3 linked regions of the Canis lupus familiaris genome follow. The protein of the gene in region 1 purifies or fractionates together with the protein of each later gene. This does not show direct contact. Links are inferred from orthologs where the notes say so. Each region holds a gene or a part of one and is shown in the gene's direction. Other genes may lie near its edges.

Region 1 (3,653 bases):
AAATATACTTTTTAAATGAAGTATTTATGAGAAAAAATGATATTTGTCTGATGTAAAAGTTCTTTTTCTTTTCCTATTTTTTTTTTCCTTTTCAGTCTAAGCTGCTATTTCTTCTTCCCTGTTGTTATTTAGGGGAAAAAAGTCAGCTTTAATACTATAAAATTTCATTCATTCTAATTAAACTGATTTGGAATGCATGTTTAGTTGAGTTTGAATGAGATTTAATAAATTACTTCATGAGCATCATATGAATAAGAATTCCAGGAGTTTGTGAAGCCTACTTGAGAAAATAATTAACTTTGAGAAATCAATTATTTTTATGGAAAATGAAGATCTACCCTTCCAATAAAATGAAACTAAAACTTTACATTCTTACTTTTACAATAATTATTTTTTTTTTATCAGAAACTCTTTGTAGCTGTCAAATCCAGGTTTCAAATACTAGAAGGTTTAAAATGATGAAATTGCATATTCTTTCAAGTCCTTTATAATTATACTATAATAGAAGTTCAAATACTGTCTTTTATGAGATATTCAAAATTAGTGTATTCTCTACTGTGACTTTTGAAAATATGATCTATTTCATTTGTTCTTGTCTTTGTAGGTGCATATCTTTTGCCATATTTAATACTGCTTCTGGTAATAGGTATTCCCCTTTTTTTCCTGGAACTTGCTGTGGGTCAAAGAATCCGGCGAGGAAGCATTGGTGTGTGGAATTACATAAGCCCTAAACTGGGTGGCATTGGATTTGCAAGTTGTGTAGTAAGTTTCCTGGTATGGTATATGTTATATAATTTTTACAGGGTTTGTTATTGTATAGTTTGCATTTAAATGAAACCCTTGAGTGTGTATTTCTATTCAACTCTTAACTGTGTTAAAAAAAACACGATTAGTTTGCACTAATACACTATCGAAGCTGTAAATATTAATATAGTTCAATCTTGATAATGCATGTTCCTAAGACCTAAGAGAGACATCTTCTTAGAAAAGATAATGTGTTTCAAATAAAAATGAAATGGGGAGGATTTTTTAACATGTTAAATGGGCCTTTATGCATTTCATCTCATTTCAAAGGAAGGGGCATAGGAAGCATAATGTAATCGCACTATTTTGTTTTGCAGGTGTGCTTTTTTGTGGGTCTCTACTACAATGTCATCATTGGCTGGAGTTTGTTCTATTTTTCTCAATCTTTTCAGCAGCCTCTACCTTGGGATCAATGTCCTTTGGTGAAAAATGCTTCACACACTTGTAAGACATATATCATATCATACAGTGTTTTTTGTTTTTTTTTTTTTTTTGTATATAAAGATCATAAAGTTGCTAAGGGCATGATATTTTGAGATTTTTTTTCTTTTCTGAAAATAATGTAGAAAAATCTTGCAAAATTATCCTAGCAAGCTTTCTTCACTTTTAGGATTGGCATACTTAAAGCAAAGACCTTTGGCACCATCTAATTTTACTAGCTCTTCCCAAGTTATTTTATCATGCCCCACGACATTATGGTAAAATATTACAACCCTTCAGTTGTTAACTTTGACAATTTTTTATTTTGTACACCTTTCTTGATGCCTAATATTTTGATTAAAATAAATAAAATACAACTTCCGGCTATAAAACGAGTAAGTTATGGAGATGAAAAGTACAGCATAAGGAAGATGGTCAATAATACTGTAATAATTATATGGTGACACATGGTAACTAACTACACCTATTGTGGTGAGCATTGTGTCATGTACAGAATTGTAGAATCATTATATTGTACATCAAAATGAATAACATTGTATGTCAACTATACTTCAGTCACACAAATTTTTTTTAAAAGGACCTACAGGTAGTCATAAAGGAGAAAAAAAATATGGGATCCCTGGGTGGCGCAGTGGTTTGGCGCCTGCCTTTGGCCCAGGGCGTGATCCTGGAGACCCGGGATCGAATCCCACATCGGGCTCCCCGTGCATGGAGCCTGCTTCTCCCTCTGCCTATGTCTCTGCCTCTCTCTCTCTCTCTCTGTGACTATCACAAATAAATAAAAATTAAAAAAAATATGTTAAAAAAAAAAGGAGAAAAAAAATAAAAGTAACATAAAAATTAGGGCAAAAAGAATTAGGATTGAAGTAATTGTTTTTATATCTTTAGTTCTGTTTAGTTTTGTTTAGTTTTTCAATCATTTATGTTTAAATTCTAGAACGTAAACAAAGGACAAGTCCCTCTAGTAGTGATGTCCAGTAAACATCAAATGCAACACATATATGTAGTCTAAAATTTACTACTAGCCACACTGAAACAAGTAAGAAATAGGTGAACTATTTTTTCCAAAATATTAACATTTCAACAAATAATTAATAGAAAAATTATTAATGCCCTAATTTACATTGTTTAATTGCACTACGTCTCTAAAATCTTCTGGTATTTTGTATTTATAGTACATGCCACTTTAGACTAGCTTTATTTCAAAAGTCACATCTGACCAGCAGCTAGCATATTTGACAGCTCTGTCCCAGGAAGTCAGTCAGATAATTCTGGGCATTGAAGGGGCTATAAACCTGATGTGTTTTAACTACTTTGATAAAAAGCTTACATATTCCTATTTCAGCGATGTGTAATAAAAAATATCAACAAGAATACATGTCTGTGGATTTTTCACAATTTTGCACAGTTGAGTTTTCATGGTGAACTTAAATGCTTCTGTAGAATAGTGTACTTTTCTATGAAATATTAAGAACTGATTTACAGGTTTACTGGGAGCAGAACAATAACCTAATTACTCTTCCTACTCTGAATTTCTTTCCATAGTTGTAGAGCCAGAATGTGAAAAAAGTTCTGCCACCACCTATTACTGGTACAGAGAAACCCTGAATATTTCCAGTTCCATTTCTGAAAGTGGGGGCTTAAACTGGAAGATGACCGTCTGCTTGCTGGCTGCCTGGGTTGTGGTTTGCTTGGCTATGATCAAAGGCATTCAATCTTCTGGAAAAGTTAGTATGTTAGAGTCCCTCCTGACTCTGCTCCTCACCACTCCTGCGTGTGATGCCCGCCTCAAGCTCTGCTATAAATGTCTGTGGGCAAACTACAAGTATCGTGTCATTCTAGGTAGTTAAATAAAGATTGGTGGAAAGTAGTGCTTTTGAAAGTGTGTTTAAAGAAAGAACATAAGTAAGGACGTGTTTTGTAGTGAAATCTAAAGTCACTTATAATCTTTCCTTGTTTCACCCAAGACATTTTTTGAAATTTTGTGTCATTCCCTAAAAGACCTTCATTTTTGCTGTTCATTCCCTTGACCCTTAGTTCACCAAAGATGAGGGTGAGACATAAATAACAGGACAGTGAGTCATACAGATCAGGGGATGAGCGCCTCATACTCAGACTTGAGAGTGCAGCCCTGCTCTGTTCTGAGGCTGTAGAGCTGGGTCTGAGGCAGCTGGCAAGGGCCTGGGGGTTAGCTCAGCTGGGGGACAGGTGGTGGGGTGGGCAGGGAGGCCACTCTAATGTGAGGCTTTGCAGGTGAGAGAGAGGAATTCACGAGGAATTCACACTTTATTTCAACTGTATGAAAAAATCCCTGGAGTGTGTTAAGTAGGAATAAGATAACATGAGCGGTAGCCTGGAAACTAGGAGAATATTACCAGTAGTGTAGGGCTGCTTCTAGATGTTTGACT
Region 2 (3,653 bases), on another chromosome or scaffold:
TTTCAGATCTATTCTTTTAGCAGCTTTCAAGTATATAATACAGTATTACTATCTATAGTCACCATGCTGTGCATTAGGTCCCCAGAACTTATTTATCTCAGAACTGAAAGTTTGTAGTCTTTGACCAGCATCTCCCCAATTCCTCCACTGTGCCCTCTCTCCTCCTCAGCCCCTGGAAACCATAATCCTAGTCTCTGTTTCTATCAGTTCAGCTTTTTTTAGATTCTGTGTATAAGTAGTACTATCTAGTACTTATCTTTCTCTGTCTGACTTACGCTACTTAGCAAAATGCTTTCAAGGTCCATCTATGTTGTCACAGGTGTTAGGATTCCTTCTTTCTCACGGCTAAATAATATTCCACTCTCAATATATACCACATCTCTTTTTGCCTGTTCATCTGTTGAGAGGCACTTAGGTTGTTTCCAAATCTTGGCTCTTGTGAATAATATGCTGCAATGAACTTGAGGGTACAGTTATCTATTTAAGATCTTGTTTTCATTTCCATTGGGTATATTCCTGAAAGCGGGATTACTGGATCATAGGGTAGTTCCATTTTTTATTTTTTTGAAGACTCTCTCATACTATTTTCTCTAGTAACTGTATTGATATATATCCGTACCAATAGTGCATCAGGGCATATGTTTTTTTCCTTTTTAAAATCTGTTCTACATACTGGGATTCTGCATTAGATGTGACTTAAAGAAAATGATTTGTAATTTGTTGCTAAACCAGAATGTTTAGAAACCACAACTTTAGTTAAACTTGCTCAGTTTGTAAACTGAATCTTGGAGATGTTATGTAATTTGCCTTATAGTCACACAGTTAGTTGGTGGAAAAATTGTGATGTCATTATATTAAAGTTATTTAGCCAACCAACATATTCAAGAGACCTATTGTGTAATAGGATCTTCCTCAAGGCATTTGTGTACTCTTTACTCAGATTCACCGACTGTTTACATTTTTGCCCTATTTGCTTGATCATTCTCTCTCTCTGGATATGTTTACAGATAGGAACCAGGGGACTGTCTGCCAGGCATTGTATTAAGTGCCAAGGACACAGTAATAGGCAAAATAGTTACTGTGACTACTTTCACTCACCTTCAAGGGAGACAGATATTTAAGACCCATGTGGATAACTCTCTAACTATAGCACTCTGGGACTCAGGTCAGAGAAGTTAGTGGGCCTGGTTTACTTTATTTATTTATTTATTTTTAACTCATCTCTATCAAGCAAAGTCGTTTCTCTTTCTCTTGGGGTCTGATAAAGATGTTTAGCTTGTCACCTTGGAAACACTGACATGGATAAAAGAAGCCACCACTTAGTTCATAACTGGGATGTATTTTCTTTTCTTTTTCTCAGTATAATCCTCAGTTTGGGGATGCATTTTGGAACAGTAGTAAATACAACATGGTGAGCTACCTGCTTCGAATGATGACCAGCTGGGCAATCGTCTGTGACGTGTGGTACATGCCCCCCATGAGCAGAGAGGTATTCATAGATAACAACTAGTCTTTGGTGCTTTATCCAGTCAGATCAAGGCAAGGAAACTTTTACCTGAAATCCTGGGTGCCTTCCTTCTTCACATTAGCTAGAGCTGGACTTGCTTTCTTAGCAAATGAGTCATTAAAAAATAGTATTTAACTTTTTAAAATCAGGCTATTTTATATTCAGGGACTCTTTTCCATAATAGTTTTTAATATTGCTGTTGGTTTAGTGAATCTACAGATATTACGGAATGTGATGTGTTGGATAAGACTAATAAAGATCATAAATATATACACAAGATACAAAATCAAACAATACAGCACTTCATTTTCTTGATAGAACAAATGATATTTGCTATGATTGAGAATAGAACTGAGCTAAAATATGAATCTTATTTTCTTTTTTTAAGAGAGAGACAGAAAGAGCAAGAAGGCATGCACATGTTGTGGGGAGCAGAGGGAGAGGGAGAGAGAATCGTAAGCAGGCTTCACACCCAGTGCAGAGCCCCACGTATGGCTCAATCTCAAAGCCCTGAGATCTTGACCTGAGCTGAAATCAAGATTTGGATGCTTAACCGACTGAGTCACCCAGGCGCCCCGAATCTTACATTCTAAAGCAAATCTAAATGACTCTGAGAGCTTTTTTTTTTTTTTTTTTTTTTTGACTCTGAGAGCTTTTAAGAGTTATTTGAAAGCTCTGTTCTCAGGAAGTACTTGTAATTTCCTTTTTCCCCAGGAAGGAGAAGATGCCGTCCAGTTTGCCAACAGGGTTAAGTCTGCTATTGCTGTGCAAGGAGGATTGACTGAGCTTCCCTGGTAAGGCAGTTTGCAGAAGTACTATCTTTTTTTTTTTTTTTTTTAGTGAAAAAAATCTATTTTAATAATGTCATTGATTGTGGTAGTCAACCAGAGGTGTAGCTGAAAACGACAGTGGTTTACATAGAATAACAACAGCTTAAATCTGGTCGAAGTTTAGCCCTCTTCCTTAAACGTGGGTGGTGAAGGCTGGTATAACAGGTCATTCCATATGCTTCCATCCTCAGTGTGCTTCCACTCGAGGGTTCAGGATGGTGGCTTCAGTGCTGCTCCACACCTATAGAAAATGGCCAGCAGGAAAGAATTAAAACAAGGACACACCTTTGTGTGTGAGCACAAGGTAGAAGTTGGGCATGCCACTTCCATGTCTACCCACCAGCTAGACCTCAAGTTATACGATAACAGCTGCACAGAAGGCTGGCGAATGCTGTCTTTGCTCTGGATAGCCATATATCTAGCTAAAACTCAGATACTAAAGAAGAAAATGAGAAAAGATTTGGTGGTGGGGAATGGAGCCTAGGAGCAAGGGGCAACTTATAGGCTTGTTCATATTTTATGCTAGCTGTAACTATATGTATATATACATAAGTTACAGCTAGCATATATATATATATATATATATATATAAGATTTTATTTATTTTTTTATGAGAGACACACAGCAGAGAGAGGCAGAGACAAAGGCACAGGGAGAAGCAGGCTCCCTGCAGGGGGTCTGATGCAAGACTCTATCCCAGAATCCTGGGATCACCATCTGAGCTGGAAGGCAGATGCTCAACCACTGGGCCACCCAGGTGCCCCTAGCTGTAAATATATTAAAGGAAACTTAAAAAAAAAAAAAAGGAAATAAGTGAGATATTTTAGTGATGGAAACTTTGGATTTAATTTTTTGTTTGTTTGAGGGTGGTGGAATGTAGGGGAGTGTCTTAGTCTGCTTGGGCTACCATAACAAACTACCATAGATTGGGTGGCTTATACAATGGAAATCCGCTCATGGTTCTGAAGCCTGGAAGTCTGAGATCAGGGTACCAGCAAGGTCGGTTTCTGGTCAGAGCTCTCTATCCCTTTTGGCTGGCAAATGGCCACCTTCTTGCCTTTGTGTGAGCATGGAGAGAGAGGGAGAGAAGAGAGCAGGCTCACAGGTGTCTCTTCTTTTAGGGGCACTAATTCTACCTTGAGGATTAGTGACCACCTTTATGACCTCATCGAAACCTAATTACTTCCTAAGGTCCCATCACCAGATACCATCATATTGGGGGTTAGGGCTTTAATATATGAATTTGAGGAGGAGATGCACAAACATTTAGCCTTTATCAGTGAGGGTAAACTGTACCTACATTATCATGGGAGATT
Region 3 (3,653 bases), on another chromosome or scaffold:
CAATAGAACTTTCCACGGCAGTAGAAATGTTGTACACCTGTGCTGTCTGCCATCCTAGCCTCCAGCCACGTGTGGTGATCAAGCACTTGAAATGTGGCCAGTGGCACTGAAATACTGAGTTCTCGATATTATTTCATCTTTACTAATTTATGTCCGAGTGTAAATGGCCACACGAGCTAATGGCTGCTGCTGGGTGGTGCCGGCCTAGAGATTTGATCCGGGTTAGACAGGGTTCAAACGCTGTTCCCCTGTCTCAGAGTCTCCCTGGAGCTCTCTTTTTTGGAAGGGTTTGGAGCTCGTTTACGGAGGTCACAAAGGCTCACACCTGGTGGTAGCTGTGGCCCTTTGGCAGGTGTGGCAAATTCTGGGAAGCGTGAGTCTTGGCGCCAGACCCGAGTCCACACCCGAGCTTGGCTAGGTTGGAGCTGGGGATTTCAGACTGCTTCCTTGCTCTCCAAGTTTTGGCTCCCGTCTCTAGAAACGGGGTGGGGAGGGTATTGACATTCTGAAGTGAGGGGATGTAGCTCATGGTGGTTGGCCGACACCTGGCATAGACAAGGTGGCTCTTTTCCTCACAAAAGCCTCCCCAGGCCACCACCCTAAAAAACCGGTCTGTCTTTATACTCACACCTCAGTGTTTTTACTTAACTTGATCAGGCTTTATTTTTTTGAGCACAAAACTCAGAATGGACTCCGATGACCTTTCTGTTTTATTCTCAAAAACTAAAAAGCGCCCTCAAAAGTGTAAGTCCCACCACTAGAAAGAGGCTCCCAGCTTTGGAGCTTTGTGGCTGTGGCAGCTAAAGGTATGGTCTCCTCCGGGACTGTGTTCATTTCTGTGTTCTGCCTGAATTATTTTTTAAAAACTGGGGGGGGGGGGGGGGGGAGTCTTCTGGTTTTTAGTTTCCCATTGATTGCTGTCCACACGATAGTGTTAATAGGGTCTGATGTGGGGAGGAGCGAAAGGAAGATGGATTTTTATTCCGGGAAACCACTAAACTGGCAATTCTGAACTGTACTGTGGAACTCGAGTCCACGAGGTCAGCCACATGGCCAGCCATGTGGCCAAACAAGTTAGGGGAACTATGTTCTCGATCCCCTTCTTGGGGACTTGCAACACCTCAAGGGTCTTGCAAGCTCTGAGAAGTCTCATCTCAAGAGCCCCTCTTTCTCTGAGTTTGACTTCCTTCTCCCAAACACACTTGGCCACTGCTTGACCTTCCTGGGCTGTGTGTTCCGGAGGATGCATTTGGGAACTCAGTGCTAGATGTTGATGTTGTCTGAGTATTGAGGAGGGAAGGTACAGGTGTCCCGCCTCCACAGGTGGCCTCCATGAACCAGCGCCGTGTGGATTTCTACCTGGCCTCCATTGAAGACATGCTGGTGGCCGTTGGTGGCCGGAATGAGAATGGAGCTCTTTCTTCGGTGGAGACTTACAGCCCCAAGACCGACTCCTGGTCCTATGTGGCCGGCTTGCCAAGGTGATTGGGGGTGGTTTGTCATGGACTCCTCAAATGTGATGACTTTGTTCACCTCATTTTCTAGATATTTTGGTCTCCAATTCCAGGGGGAAGAAAATCTCCTGGCTTGTAAATAACCATGGGTAGACCATGGGGGCAGAGGGCATGGTGATGACGAGTCAGGGCTCTGGTTTTAGACCATCCAGGCACAAGAGTCAGCTCTGCTGCTAAGGCAAATGTCCCCCAGTTTCTGAGCCTGTTTACTTCCAGAGTTTCAGGGAGAGAGTATTCAGCAGATAGTAAGGCTTTCCCTAGAAATGTCTCTGAGTGTGGGCCTGGGTTCAAGAGATGATGGATCTGTGAGCCGAGCCAGCATTTTCACTCTGCTCTCTTACTTCATCTGTATAGCAGACATGGTAACACTTGCCCTATAGGGCTGTCAGTGTGATATGTTCCTTAGGAGCACCCTCCCACCCACAGCACCCAACACCTGGGGAGTGCCCTGGTGCTCGGAGCTCCTCAGTCTCCCTGCATTGAGGTATGCACTTGGGACCACTGCTCATCATCCTGGATCTAGCAGAAGGTGCTTGCTGTTTATTTTGCTAGTCCCTCGATAGCTGAACCTGCAAGCACGCTTCGTGAACCAGTCTTATGGTGGAATGCAGGCAGCTGTCTTGCATGTGTCCCCAGGAGCTAGAAGGGCATGTGATGTAAGCATTAGATTGTGAATTCTGGTCCTGTTGCTACCCTCTTCGAGTAGAGGTTCCAGGAAGTGGATGGAGTAACATCTCTGACAATAGGCATAGTGGTTCCAAATGGCACGCACCATCCCTGGGCCAGGAGTGACGAGTCCCTTGAGGCTCACAGTGACCTGGTGGGGTGGAGGTAGGCTCCCATATAATTTGTCTCCCAAACCCGGATGGCAGTGAACAGGGAAGGTTGACAGTGTAAATACTGACCGTGTCATAGGCAGACCAAGACCTTTGATCTCCCTGGATTTAGTAGTGTTTTTTATCCTCCCATTTCGCAGATGGAGAAGGGAGCCTTAACGGTAGTGGTAAGAGTATCTGCTGCTCTTTCTCTGGGCCAGCTGGTGGGACTTCCATCCCTAAATACTCCTAACAACCCTGGTTTTATCTTTCTCAACGAGCCTGAGGTGTACAAGGTTGGAGTAAACATAGCCCGAAATGCTATGATCACCAGTGGGTGCATGAACCTGCAGCCTGACCTGAGAGCGGAGGCGCTACACGGTGCCTCCTGGCTCCCTGGGGCTGCCCTCCCAGACATTCCCCACCTGCAGCCACTGCCCACCTCCCCTGTGACCCGCTCTGCACTTAGGTTTTGTAATTTTCTTTTTTGTATTTATACAAACTGCACTTTTCAGAGAAAATTGAAAATCGAGCAGAAAGTATAAATTGTTCCTGTAGACCTTCTCAGAGCGTATTTCCCCCCATTGTTAACATCTCGAAGTAGCCACGCTATGTTTGTTACAACTGATGCACGCAAGTGGCCACGTTGCCCTAACGGAGGCCCAGGCTGAGGGCTCGCTGTCCGTGCTGTATGTTCTGTGGTTCGGGACAGATGTGTGGGGACGCTCATCCACCCTTCCTTACAGTGTCAGAGTAGTTCCACGGCCCTAAGAATCCCTTGTACTCCTCCTGTTCATCCCATCCTCACCACAGGCTCCGCCCACCCTGCACCCTTGAACATTTCACCATCCCTATAGTCTTTTCCAGAATGTGCACGGAGTTGGAATTGTACTTTGTTTCCTTCCCTTTGCTTTATAATTGGATCAGGTGCCTGTGTGTGCCTCAATCCCACAGTGTCCTTGTTTTCAGCTCTTATAGGAAGGATCAGCCCCACAGTCACTGCCACTCCCGAACTGGGGGAGAGTGGAGGTGGGGCTGGGCCCAGGCGGTGTGACTGCTGAGCTGCATACACGTTTACCGCACCCCCCACCCCAACCCCGACTCTGCCATTCTTACCAGCAACAGCTGCTGACCAGTGTGCATGTGGTCTCATCAGATCCCCCACAGCCCACAGCCTCCAAGATTGCAGGTTGTCTCCCTTTCACAGGGGAGAAGCACAAAGCCTCGGCGCCAGCCTGGCACGGCCTTGAGCTCCCTGTCTGTCTCTGTCTGTCCCGCCGTCTCCCCGCAGGTTCACCTACGGCCATGCAGGCACCATCTACAA

What was found.
Region 2: the proteins of SLC6A15 (region 1) and GPAT3 purify together in Homo sapiens (co-immunoprecipitation; 3 studies listed by BioGRID and IntAct, counting the BioPlex papers as one, with this or other methods). This does not show direct contact. The link is inferred for Canis lupus familiaris from reciprocal best matches to the Homo sapiens genes SLC6A15 and GPAT3.
Region 3: the proteins of SLC6A15 (region 1) and KLHL36 purify together in Homo sapiens (co-immunoprecipitation; 3 studies listed by BioGRID and IntAct, counting the BioPlex papers as one, with this or other methods). This does not show direct contact. The link is inferred for Canis lupus familiaris from reciprocal best matches to the Homo sapiens genes SLC6A15 and KLHL36.

Annotation. Positions count from the first base shown.
Region 1 is NC_049236.1:26,752,169-26,755,821, reverse strand, and holds part of SLC6A15 (sodium-dependent neutral amino acid transporter B(0)AT2), read left to right. Parts: intron 1-604; coding exon 605-762; intron 763-1,121; coding exon 1,122-1,248; intron 1,249-2,790; coding exon 2,791-2,972; intron 2,973-3,653.
Region 2 is NC_049253.1:32,589,390-32,593,042, reverse strand, and holds part of GPAT3 (glycerol-3-phosphate acyltransferase 3), read left to right. Parts: intron 1-1,360; coding exon 1,361-1,489; intron 1,490-2,221; coding exon 2,222-2,301; intron 2,302-3,653. UniProt on the Homo sapiens protein: Converts glycerol-3-phosphate to 1-acyl-sn-glycerol-3-phosphate (lysophosphatidic acid or LPA) by incorporating an acyl moiety at the sn-1 position of the glycerol backbone.
Region 3 is NC_049226.1:68,331,435-68,335,087, reverse strand, and holds part of KLHL36 (kelch-like protein 36), read left to right. Parts: intron 1-1,323; coding exon 1,324-1,481; intron 1,482-3,620; coding exon 3,621-3,653.